Linked DNA regions of Drosophila melanogaster. The protein of the gene in region 1 purifies or fractionates together with the protein of each later gene. This does not show direct contact. Each region holds a gene or a part of one and is shown on either strand. Other genes may lie near its edges.

Region 1 (5,557 bases):
TAACAATTGTACACATGTATAAAAATGGAATATTTTCAACTGCTGAGTAAGCTCGAAATTCTCACAGCTCCAGAATCTCGGTGAGAATGCGTTGCGTATCCTTGGGAGTATATACCCTATGGCTGATGGTTCGAGGATCGCTATAGATCTCATAGTCATTGCCGCCCGGCTCCGTTTTATCGCCAAAGAAGTGGATTTCCTTGAACTTGTAGTGCGCTTCGATGTGTCGCAGGCAGTAGGTCTTGTCCCAACCATGCGGGAAGACATCGAAGCTGATCTGACCACCAATCGAGTACGTGAGATCCACATCGGCAAACTCCTGCTTCAGGTCCTTGATCATTTTCTCGCGCACCTTGTGCTCAATGTCGTACTCGGCGAACATGTTGCGCTCCTCCCGAGTGCACTGCCTGCCAATGGGACAAACGTTCATCATGCCATTCCGGAATTCGATAAAGGTGCCCCTCTTGATGGGCACATCCAGTTCGGACAGATAGCGCAGCACAAAGTTGATGAAACGCTTCACCGTCTCCTCGCCCAAATGCATGATGATATTCTGCTTTCCCACCTCCTTTCCGCCCTCAATCTGCACCAGCCCATTTTCCGGGAATATGAAGTCGAACTCGTTGAGTATCTTCCTGCCATTCAGCTGCTCGAACATCTTCTCCAGATCCGAGCCTCCGACGATTCCGATGGTCGCCCTCGGCTTAACCCGCGAGTAGAAGAACTCCTCGAACTCCGGAGTGACCACGGATCTGGGCATCGTTAACGTGCCGTCCACGTCGAAGAGCAGCAGGATTTCATCACGCTTCAATGCGGCGGTGGTCATTTTGCATTTAAATTTTGTGGTAAATCAGCAGGTGTTTAATATCCAGATATTTATGTCCACGTATGATTCGAGATAAAGAATTTTACAAGCGGCAACGCAGTGGTGAGAAATCCCCTAAAGCTTTCGATGCACCGGCAAGGGGAACCAGTTCCGGAATCCAAGTGCAATCAAAATTAATGTTTTGAATTGCCTTTTACGTTAGGTTTACTATTTAAAACAATGAGAGTATAAACATTCAAGCACAATCATTTGGATTTTCCTGCATGTATAGGTAACAGTTTAATTCATGGAGTTCATGCTGTCAGGGTACAAATAGTTTCTATTTTAATAGCAATTTGTACATTGCAGTTCTTTATCAGGCAAACTAGAATACACATATTTGGGTTCTTAAGTGTAGCATAACAGGGGGTTCTACTGCCTTTTAATGTGCTGCAGTTCATCTCTCTTGATTTTGCTGTATTCCTGCAGGGTTTTGTATTTCTCAGTGTTAACCATGGGGTCCACAATGACGGGGTATAGGGTGAGGCCCACGGCGCCCACGATGCAGGACACGAATCCAACGAATCTCCAACCACGCAGGACTGCCATTTAGCTAAAATATGGAATATTTTAGCTGACTTTTCGGTTTGTTATTATAAAACACAAAACACCTGGTTGACCGTAAGATGCTAGAAAACGCCAAGTGTGTGGTCACACTACTGTGGTCACCGGTGAAGTGCAGTAAATACTACAGAAGAGATAACCTGATAGAAAGTAAAATATAAATAAACAAGATTACTGTATATATAATAAAAATAGATATAGGTATAGATTAAACTAGAAATATCCTGAATGCTAAATATGTTTCTTGATTCATATCTCACTTAAGCATTCTCCACTGTGTGTACCTGTTGGTATTTTTTGAAATCATGTCTATTTCTGCCCGCTCTGGTTACACTGGCTTCCTTGAGCTGGGCTTGGGTGTGGTGTTTTGTTTGAGTAATTGTTTTTGCAGATAGATCTTTTTAGTTAATACACTTATTAATATTCTTATATCCCGAATATGGCTAGCAGCCTCGTTTTTGTGGCTCTAGTCGGCGCCTTATGTTTTACGCTCGCTAACGGTAAGTTGCGGCTGGAATACGAAAGTCGCCCATTTCTAGGGCGTTGGCATGAGTTAAAACCACGATTTTGCAGCACAACATCACTACGATGAGCACAAGACCACACGGATGGTGTGGTGCACCAAGAGCCAGGCGGAGCAGTACAAATGCCAGAACCTTACGGTGGCCATCGAGCGGGATCGGGCACTATTCGACGAGGTGTTCCTCAATCTCACCTGCTTCATGGCCTACAGTGCGGATGAGTGCATCCATCACATTGATCGCGAGAAGGCACACATCACCACGCTGGATGCGGGCGATGTCTTCACTGCTGGACGGTACAACTCCCTCATACCCATTATGCAGGAGAAACTGGAGGGCGGCTTTGCGGACTATCAATCCGTAGCCGTGATCAAGAAGGGATCTCTACCAGACTTGAACAATCTGCGCGACATGCGCAACAAGAGGGTGTGCTTCCCCTGGGTGGGCAGCTTGGCCGGTTGGATTGTGCCCATTCACACGGTGAGTAGAACTCCTCTTTTAAGTTGATTGTTTATTTGTTTCATTAGGCAACTAACAAACAAATTTTATCGTTTTGCAGCTCCAAAGGGAGGGCGGCATGGAAGTGGTGGACTGCAACAACCAGGTGAAGACGGCCGCCAGCTATTTCAATAATTCGTGTGCTGTGTACTCGCTTTCCGACAAACACAATCCAATTGGCGACAACTCCGATAAGTAATGACGCATAAAAGCCACAATTTTACACACATTAACTAACAACAAATCAATTTTCAAACCAGACTTTGTACGCTTTGCACTGGAAAGATACCCGGAGGACGCTGCTCATCTGCAGATCCCTACTTCGGCTACGAAGGCGCCTTCAAATGTCTGCTTGAAAAAGGAGATGTTGCCTTCTTGCGCCATTCGACTGTGAATGAAATGCTGCAAACCACCGAATTCAGTGAGTTACCAAAGGGAAACTTCTGAAAACCCATTACTGATCTAAGCTGCGTTTTTTAGAGAACATAGCACCCGACACTTTTGAGCTGCTGTGTCGTGATGGTCGTCGTGCCTCCATCAACGATTATCGCCAGTGTAATTGGGGCCAAGTGCCCGCCGATGCCATTGTCACATCTTCGGCTCGCAGCTTCAGCGATCGCAAGCAGTATCAGCAGTTTTTGAAGCGCATTGCCGAGCTGTACTCCGATGGCACACGTGATGATCAGAGCAGGCAGGGAGGACAAAGCTTCAACAGCCGCAACAACATCAACGATCAGAATGCCTATGGCCAGTTCGATAATAATGATCCGTACAGAACGCAGAATCAATACGATCAGTATCGCAGCGAACGATTGGACAGCAGTTTTGCAGAGGAAAGAAACCAGCAGGACGGCACGAACACTTCCATACTCTATGAGAAGTTCCGCATCTTCGAGTCGAAGCGCTATGGCAAGCCAAATTTGCTGTTCCAGGTAAGTGGATCATATTTTCCGTGATCCGAAATACATACTTAACATTCAATTGTTTTGTGACAGGATTCTAGTCGCGCTCTAACCGTGATTCCCGAAGATGATCAGTCATTTACCAAGTACCTAGGCCCTGCCATTAACTTTATCTACGGCATCCGTGAGTGTCCAGTTCCAGCGATGACGCTTTGCGTGACTTCGGAGAATGAGCTTGATAAATGCATCAAGATGAGGGTGAGTTGAAGAGTGAATATATGGATAGCAAGATGAGTTGATGATCCTTTACAAAAACACTTTTAGACTGCCTTGAAAGCTCACCTCCTGAAACCAGAACTCATCTGCAAGAAAATGCACTCCCACATCAACTGCATGCAGTTCATCGAAGCGGGCAAAGCAGACATCTCCGTTTTCGATGCCGGCGATGTCTACACTGGTGGCCTCAACTACGACCTGGTGCCCTTCATGTCGGAGGTGTACAATCTGGGCGAGCCCGAGTATTATGTGGTTGCCGTGGCCAAGGAGGATGATCCCGATACGGAGCTAACTTACCTGAAGGGTAAGAATACCTGCCATACGGGCATTAACACCGCCGCTGGCTGGACATATCCGATGGCGCTTTTCATCTCGAACGGCTGGATTCGTCCCTACGGATGCGATTCGGTTCGAGCTGCCGCGGAGTACTTCACCAAGTCGTGCGTGCCGGGTGCCATTAGCAATGAGTACAACACCGGTGTGCCCTACGACAGCATGTGCGATCTGTGTCATGGAACTAGCTATCGCTATTGTCGTCGCGATGCCTCCGAGGAATACTACGGGCACACGGGTGCATTCCGTTGCCTCGTCGAGGGCGGCGGTCACGTGGCCTTCATGAAGCACACCACGGTGATGGAAAGCACGGGCGGCAAACGCAAGGAATGGTGGGCCAGGAATGCCCTAAACGATGACTTTGAGCTGCTCTGCACGGATGGTACTCGTGCCGAGATCCAGGACTACAAGCGCTGCAATCTGGGCAAGGTTAAGGCCAATGCTGTGGTCACCCGCGGCGGAGTCAACTACAACGAGACCCAGATGAATGCCTACATCAATCTGCTGACCTATGCCCAACAACTGTACGGTCGCAAGGAAGTGGACGCCTTCAGTTTCAGCATGTTCTCCTCGCCGATCGGGCACTATGATCTGATCTTCCAGGACGCCACGCGGCAGCTGCAAGTAATTCCGCCCAATAAGCGCAGGTATGATGCCTATTTGGGCAGCGATTTTATGCGAGCACGCCGCATCACCGACTGCTATGCTGGTGCCTCCCAGTTGGCATTATCCGTGGGCCTGCTCCTCGTGGGTTCGCTGGTTGCAATGCTCTAAGCCACTAGACTCACTTAGATTTCAGAATTCTACAAGCATCTCTAGCACAAAGAGAAAACATATCAACATTTTTACATTCCAAATATGATTAAGTTAAATGTGAAATCCCTTCCGTCCGAAAATGAAACTCTAACTAGCCGAAAAATATCTGTTGAAGGCTATAGTTTATAATTTATAAAGTCCTGTGCCTTATTATAGTATTTGTTTGTGTACATACCAACTAAGACCGTCCAAAAAATGTACCTAGGAGATGTAAGCCGAATCTTTTACAACCGCTTATGTAAGTATACAAATAAAATAACTAGATAAAGGAGTTATTTTGCTTATTTTGAATTAGTATCATTTGAAGAATCCTAATATCTTGACCGCAATTGTAGCCGCCAAATTCAAATTGAATATGTGCGCTAACATCGCTTTGAAACATAGATGTTATTGAAATTTACGCTGGTAAATATTGCATTTAACCTTAAAACACTCTGTATTGTTTATAAAGCCAGTAAAATGTTTGAAATTAAAGAAAATAGCGTAGTTACAAGTTTCAGCGCAGTGTGACCGCTTGGCCGCATAAGCAAGGGTGGAACAGTGCCGCGAAACGACGGTCACACCCGCCTGCACACATCTGTGGAATTGTTAAATTTCGAAAGTCCGGAAAAACCGGACGGAACCTTTCACCTCGCTCTGGACCAGTGGCACCGCCCTCGAGTATCGCAAGATGTCTATTAACCTGCGCACCGTCTACGCCTTCGCCCGCGAGATGTACCCAAAGACCTCCAAGGAGACCATCCAATATGGAACAGCTGGCTTTCGCGGCAAGTGAGTAGTTG
Region 2 (7,726 bases), on another chromosome or scaffold:
ATCGAAAAACCAAAAATAAACACTTAGTTCTTAGTTCTTTTTGATATTTTTGGACAATAATTAATTTTGATTTGTGATAGTTTCTGAGATCTCGACGTCCATAGGGACGGACATGGCCAGATCGATCCTGATCAAGACCTCTTCTACCTGCTACATATTTTTTAACTAGTCTGGTATACCCTTTTACTTCACGAGTATCGGGTATAAAATGCAGGAGTAGTATTACCAGGTGAACAAAAAGGGACATAAATATGGCCAACCGGGGCACACGTTCATAATTAATTCATAATTCATTATTCCAAGTAAAAAAATAGGGATATTGTTATTTTTAGTTCAGCAACATACTGGACCATATAATGGTATTCATATTTATTTTGTTGATAAAATTTTAGAAATTATTTTTTGATAAAAGTCTATAAAATGGACGGAATTGCATTTGTATCAATTAAGGGGCTTGCAAGAGAGCACGGATGGAATGTAGTTCTTTTTATAACTTCACTTACTCAAATATAAGGTCACTTCTTAGTATATGTATGTTCTTACTGCCTAAAGTTATGGATCTTAATTTGTGCTGCATTCATTGGCTTGTGTAAAGAAAGGTGCTAATGAGTAGCAATGTGCTTAAGATAAGAGCCGTATTGATATTGTGGCCATGTCGGGTATTTGCGCCGTTGCGCGTGGTCTTGCCCATCTGGAAGTGTAAAGTTGGACTGGACATGCGACCGTCTCCTCCATTGCTGTATGCGAGGACTCGCATGTTGTAACTCTTCCCTGGCGTCAGATTGTTGATGTACGACTCCAGTTTCTGTCCGATTGGCACTATGGTATTGTTGGCCGTAATCATGTTCTGGTCCGATTCCCAAATGCGAACCTAGAAAGTTTCAAACTGTAATCGATTTTCTTGGTCACGGTGCCGGGAGTTGTACCTTATAACCCTCTACTGGTTCCTCGTCTTGCGAAGGTGAAACATATCTCCAAACAACCCGCACGGTAGACGGGTTTATTCCATACACGTGAACCGAAGATGGCGGCTTTTGCGGGGCCTTTCTATATGTTCGTTCTAAAAAGCATGGTGTTTAAGCATTTTCTTTAAATGGTTTTTTAAACTGTTCGTTACACACCTTCAAAGCGTTCGCTTTCAGGTCCTTCACCTGCAGCATTGTAAGCCATGACTTTAACAAAGTAGTAAGTATCTGGTTGTAGACCTACGATAAGCGCCCAATTCCTTGTAGTACGTGACAGGTAGTATACCGAGTCTTCTTCCTGGTGCGTCGTTTTCCAATACTTCAACTGGTGAAAGATAAGGGTTTTTGACAATGCAATGGAATTAAGTGCAGTAACCATACCCTGTGGCCAATGAGTTTGCCACGAATGTTTTCACGGGACATGTCTATAGGTTGCCAAGTGACATTAAAGCATGTGGAGTTGTAGGCGAGCGCAATGGGCTTTTGAGGAGCCACCTGTGGCATGTCCTCAGCGGAGTGTATGACAGCTATTTCACTCTCCGGTCCCTTGCCAACACTGTTAATGGCTTGGACTTTGACTTCGTACTCCGTATAGTAGTTATTAAGAGGAATATTAACCACAGCCACGCCCATGTGATCCTGTTTTTTTATTTCGTCAGATGCCCATTCAATGGCTCCCTTGAGCTTCCAAAACACTTTATAGTGTATGCCGTGGCTATGCTGCTCTTGCGGTAGAAGCGGATCCCAGGTGATAGTTAGGTCGCCAATCTTTCCACCTCCACCACCCACGTTCCTCGGGGCTATGTATGGTTTGTCCTCATAGGTGCTGTAAATTGGCGAGGGGGCCGAGGGCGTTCCGATTCCCAGATCGTTTACAGCAGTAACACTAAATTCGTAAGCCGACCACGGCGTCAGATTGACAACCTCGGCTTGCTGGCGAGAGGTGTATCGATCTACTTCTCGCGCCTGCACATGGGTCGACACATTAACCCAGGTGCGATTCCAGTTTGTACGGCCTAGGATGTTGTAGTAGCGGATCGCACGACCGTTGTGCGATCCGTCCACCCACTCAATGATGGCCTTCGTTTTACTTATCTGTATGACTTGAACACCACCAGGAGCGCCAGGAGCTCCCTCAATAGAAACACTGGTCTTGCTGCTAATTTCGTTTACCGCCGACTTGACAACGCATTCGTAGTCCCCGGCATCGCGCATGCTCGTGTTATGCACTGTCAATCTGTTCCAATCTACAATCTGCAATAACAAAAAGGTTAATATAAGGACAGGTTTAGTGCAGATTTCAGAACATTAACTTACAATGCGTCCGGTGCCGTCGTGATTGTTTTTTAGGACTTCGCCGTTGTGTTTCCAAACATAAGCAATGTCGAGGAGTTCATCAAAGGCGGCCTCGCAATGCAAGAAGATTAAGTCGTGTTCCTTAGAAACGATTCGTTGTGGAGGCGTTTCAATGAAACGAATTTCCTCTGTAAATATTTGAATAAATAGGTTTACATAAGTCTTGATAAAATTTCAAGTATTTAAATACTAAATTAGTTTATTATGTATTAGTCATTTTACTCTTACTATGCTACTCAGACAATAACAAAGATAGGTGCATTAAAAACAATTTTAAAAAAGTTCTCTAAACAATGCGTTTTATCAAAGTAAATATATATTATTTATAAACTATATATAAATTAACTTTTTTAAATAAAATCATTTTGCATCCAATTGAGGAAACACAAGTAGGTTTTTTGACAAAATAAAATTACTTTTTAAAAAAAATGTATATTGCATATGAATGACATTTTCTACTTACGCAATACAATAACACGCGCGTGCGATTCGTCGGTGCCGGCTTGGTTTGATGCAATACATGTGTAAATGCCCTCATCGTCCCGCGACGTGGGTGATATTGTCAGGGTACCACTGGGCAGAATGCGCCGGTGGCCTCCCGAGCCAATCACCTGTCCATCCTTCTTCCATTGAAACTTAGGGCGTGGAGCGGCTTCCGGGTCGCACACAATTGTCGTATTGCCGTTGTAAACAGCATAGACTTCAGATTCAAGGGGATGCTTTTTAAAGGACGGTTTCATAGACAGCACTCGGAGCTGCGCCGAAGAGAAGGAGGTCTTCAGTTGGTTTTGGGCACCACATTGGTACATTGCGTCGTCTTTATCCTTTTCTAGAAATTTAATGGTTAACACATTGTCTTGGATAATGTATCGGTCGCGATTAATATTCGCTGGGTCGAGTCGTTCGGCATTTTTGTACCACGTGTAATTCGCGTCCGGAATTGCAAATGCCTCGCAAATGAAAGTCACGTCACTGTTGTAGTCTTTTATCATGTCTTTAAGAGGTATGGTAAATTGTGGGCGCATTTGAATATTGATGTATATGCTCTTCATAAGTGTCTTCCGGGGATTGGTAATCGTGCAGGAGTACTCGCCGTTGTCGTTCGTTGTCGCATTTTGGATTATTAAGACACGCCCATAGTTGATCGTGTAGGCGTTGCGTTGGAGAGGTAGGCCTTGGCGGGTCCAATTGTATGACGGAATGGGGTAACCGAAGGCCATGCACTCCAGCCGAATCTCGTCACCTGCCACTGGCGCCTCCGGAAAGACTTTAGGGAAGGTGTTGGCAAATATCAGTGCTTGATAGTTGCTGTTGGGGGTAACGCGCAACGGAAAGAAGGGTCCGTTGCGACCGGTGTCCGACACAAGGGTCTGTACGGTGCACGAGTAGTTGGCTCTGTCCACAGTTTCTATGAAGGAGAAGTATAGGGCACCATCGCGGGAGACGAATACGCGTTGATCTTCCTCCACGAAGTTAGGAAAATAGTCTCGAGCCCAGTAATAGCGTACGTCGGGATAGTGCTGCGGGGGGTCACAGAATATGGATTTGCCCCAATTCATCTCGCTTGTCTCCGCAGACCGTTTTAGATTGAATTCCATAATGAAACCGAAGTTTAAATGCGCGCTTTCGGATCGAATTCGCCCAAATTTGTTTTCTGCCACACAATGATACGCGCCCTGGTCCAGCGCTTGCTTCGGCTCGTAGATAATCAGGTTGCCTCCTGATATGGTGTATCGATCCTGCGCCAGGGGATCAATCTTTTGGTACTCGAGTCTGTCGTCTACGTATACCTCTCGGTACCATGTGTATGAAGGTGTTGGATACCCGTTGGCCAAACAGCTAAGAGTAACATCATTAATCAGGCGATTCTTGTTCACATCGAAAGTCGTGTCGTTTGGCTGCTTTACGAAATAAGGACCCCGTGGAATCCGTTCCATGTCGTTTATATCGAGTCCATAATGGTAGGGACGCTTGTCGTCTAACTTTATGTTGACATTGTCTGAGCTGTATAGTACTTTTGACTCGCATATAAAGAGATTTAGTTCAATTTCATAGGCTGGCATGAACATCCACCGATCCCTTTTCTTTGAGAAGGCGTACACAACGCGATCGCGCACATATCGGTTGTCTCCATACGGCTGGTTGGGACCTGTAAGGAAACGATGTTTAGCAAATCGACAATTTTAAATAGTGAAACTTGCCTATAAAGCCGCGAAGGTTATTTTGATTGCGCTGATTAACAGTCCCCGGAAGAGAGTTGTAAAACTGATTTGGATTATTGATATTTTGGTTGTTGAGGTCGTTTTGCACAAGGAATCTATTGTCGTGCAGATCTTCGTTTTCCAAGGGCACTTGCTCGTCCATGGAAAAGGAGTCTTCGATCTGGACTAACTGGGTGTTGTCATCGTTGACCCAATTCAACGGGCCCGTTTGCCGGGCGGAGATGAAGAATCGGTTCTGCCGTTGATTCTGCAGGATGAGATTCTTGAGTATAAACGAGTGCTTCTCTACATTATCCACGTTTATCAGGTCGGCATTGTGTGCCTTGCAGATCTTTTTAGCCTCTGCCCAGTTGCGCTTGGGCGAGCGGATGAAGCGATAGCACGTCTGTCTGAACGAGACCCAGTGCTCCGGGCAAAAGTTATCTTCATCCGTATAGGCGTCCCGGTAGCTGACACCTGCTGAACCTATGCTGTTCCGATTAAAGGGGTCGTACTGTGGGCCGAGTCCGCCGAGGTTGTTTCCAGGCCCGACTACATTGCCGCCAAGGCCCCCACCTCCTGCCCTGCCATCATAGTACCCCTTGTAGGTATTAGGGCTCTGTCCGTCGACCAGCGTATTGTCGAACTGGTTGGGGTCAGCGCTTTGCTGTCCAGTATACAGGGGGTTGTATCGCGGAGAGTAATCCTTGTTGTAGCTAGGCTGATAGTTCTGAGGCTGCTGTCCCGACTGCGGATCCGGATCCGGCAGGTTTTCGGAAAATTGGGGCGTGATCTGGCCAACTAAGTTGAGCACAAGAATACTCGCCAGAAGGCCGATTTTTGCTAGCATAGTTGGTCCTTAGCTTTAATAGCGTGGGTTCTGGTTTAGATGTCTCGCAGCAGACTAAAGGCACATTTTGCTCTGGAATTCGATAGTTTCTGAAAGCAGAACGAAAGAATGTTCTTGTTTATTTTGCCCCTCTTATGGCATAAACAAATTGAATGTAAACAGATTTGTCGATCGCAGGTCATTCAAATTTGTGATACGATGTGTCAGCACGCGTATATACAAATGTACATATGTGTATGTGTGTGTGTATATGTGATTAGGCGTGGTCGTAAGCCGCGATTGATCTTCGATCAACTGACTTTTTAGATTATTCAAGCACACTTTAGTTGTGTTTCCTATTGAACAAGGACAGTTTTAACTGACTAAAGAAGGGGGCTCAATCCAAGTAGCCCGTGCTGGCAAAACTAATTGGTCGCATAGGCAAACACTTAACCACACCTTAATTACGACTCCAGGACGCAGCACACGAACGGTTGAAAACGCTACCACTGCGAGGTGTTCCTGCTGACAAAAAAAAAAACCACGAGTTGTGCGGATCCGGACAAAATAAGTATCAGAGGCAATTTACAGCTTTTTAAATTATAGTTTAATTAAATAAAAACAAAACAGTCCAGAAGCTGAGTCGACCAGCAATTAGATATGCGCAAGCCACGACTGTGGGCTACGCTGCCATCGATGGTGCGATAGAGGCATCGATATGCATAGTCGATATCCCGCTGTAATCGCCATTCGAATAAATAGTGTGCGCGGGCCATTTGAAACTGAGTTCAGATAACAGTTAACAGATATATTTTTGTTTCATACATTTTCACTTTTACACAATCACTATAATATACACTGTAAATTTGATTCACTGACGTGTCGCTTGCTGTGAACGGTAAGCATATGCGGTCAGGCTAATATCAGGAGTATTTCGAACAGAAGTCAACAGGCAAAATGCCAATAAATGCAAGAAGGGAAATAAATAGTTGCTCAATCGAGCAGTATTGTCTCCGTTAAGCTCGTAAATGGCATAGGGCCTCACAGTCCCTTGTTGAACCAGACAGTTTCCAATTCCGGACGCTTCTTCCTAATGCTGTCGCGGACCTCCGACTCCAGGCTATCCACTTTGATGTCCGCTCGCTGCTTGAAGAAGGCGCAGCCAAGGGGCGTGGCGAAAATCAGCACGAAGCCGCAGAAGAGCGTTTGGATGGGAGCGTTGGATCGCGGGTATTTAGCCAGGAATCCCCTCTTTTCGAGGACATTCATCAACACCGGTGTCAGTGCTGAAATTGAGAATAGCGTAAGTATCGTAAGTTGTTACACTTTTGTGCGCAAGGATGTCCAGGAGACGTACTCATTCCCGGTATGGCCATGGCGATTCGACTTAGGATTACGGTTGAGATCCCAACAACGGCCGCCTTCTTTGAGATGCCCATTTCGTTGCTGTGTTCATCGAAAAGCGTCACTCCGTTGCGCAGCTCTCTGTAAAAGAGGAATATTATATACATAATTAATTCACTGTTTTACGAACGGCCGAAGTAGCGTAAATTCGGTAAACAGCTTTAATAAAATATGAATAAATTAATAAAATGCTGGTAAAATTATCTCTCTAAAATTGTAGCAGAGCTGCTCTAATCGAATCAGGCCTATTTCATAATTTTACTAAAAACAAAATGTATAGAGGAAAGAGCTTCTTTAATACAAATTTAACTTACTGCATTCGCATGCAGGGGATGTTGATGCAGTTGGCAGCTCCAACTGCCACTAGGGGGACAAGGCGACCCAAGAGCGGATTCATGTTCTTCACTGCGTGGTTCAGGGAAAGGGCCGTGACCAGGGCTCCGCTAGTGGCCAAACAGTACGAGGTAACTAGTTGCCTGAACAGGGGACGAAATCGGTGAAGTTAGTGTCGGGGACTGCGGCTGGAAGGAGGTACCTACTGCTGGCTGATGGGCGAGGTTCCCGAACGGTTCGTGTAGTTAACAATGGCGTTGAATGTCTGATTGAACCACTGCCAGAAGACGACGGCGGGAGTGCTTTTGTAGAAGGCCATCATGCCTGGAATGTGATTTAGCTATTATTGTAGTCGATTAATCAGCAGTGCGGAAGCACATAGTTTATTTGACGTCAATTGAGCACCGAAAAAGTCGCTAATACGCACCGCCGGTGATGATTGTGTTCATGGGCATCTGCGCAGCCATGCGCCCGATGACTATCTGCTTCTCCCCGGTCTCTGGATGGAACGCCGAATCGTACAGGTACTTAGCGCGCCACACGTCGTCGATGGTCTTGCACTCGGGAACATCCTTGCCTTGAAGTGCGAATAAGATTAGTGATCTAATTTGGTTACCTACTCTTCTTTCTTACCAGCC

The links. The genes of interacting proteins can lie anywhere in the genome.
Region 2: the proteins of Tsf2 (region 1) and Cont purify together in Drosophila melanogaster (affinity purification with western blotting, with the first as the bait; one study listed by BioGRID). This does not show direct contact.

What each region holds. Positions count from the first base shown.
Region 1 is NT_037436.4:12,529,924-12,535,480, reverse strand, and holds Tsf2 (transferrin 2), read left to right. Parts: upstream 1-1,756; 5' UTR 1,757-1,868; coding exon 1,869-1,929; intron 1,930-2,002; coding exon 2,003-2,430; intron 2,431-2,509; coding exon 2,510-2,643; intron 2,644-2,708; coding exon 2,709-2,869; intron 2,870-2,928; coding exon 2,929-3,380; intron 3,381-3,443; coding exon 3,444-3,608; intron 3,609-3,674; coding exon 3,675-4,733; 3' UTR 4,734-5,045; downstream 5,046-5,557. Other genes in the region: Pmm2 (phosphomannomutase type 2), read right to left, coding at 62-826; CG34242 (uncharacterized protein), read right to left, coding at 1,238-1,414; nst (nesthocker), read left to right, coding at 5,446-5,546. UniProt on the Drosophila melanogaster protein: Iron-binding protein and component of septate junctions that form the paracellular permeability barrier in epithelial tissues.
Region 2 is NT_033777.3:4,379,614-4,387,339, reverse strand, and holds Cont (contactin), read right to left. Parts: upstream 6,035-7,726; 5' UTR 5,811-6,034; intron 5,462-5,810; 5' UTR 5,373-5,461; coding exon 4,523-5,372; intron 4,471-4,522; coding exon 2,785-4,470; intron 2,450-2,784; coding exon 2,283-2,449; intron 2,220-2,282; coding exon 1,347-2,219; intron 1,291-1,346; coding exon 1,122-1,290; intron 1,061-1,121; coding exon 927-1,060; intron 872-926; coding exon 578-871; 3' UTR 322-577; downstream 1-321. Other genes in the region: Sfxn1-3 (sideroflexin 1/3), read right to left, coding at 6,393-6,637, 6,709-6,836, 7,070-7,231, 7,295-7,412, 7,516-7,665, 7,722-7,726. UniProt on the Drosophila melanogaster protein: Required for organization of septate junctions and paracellular barrier functions.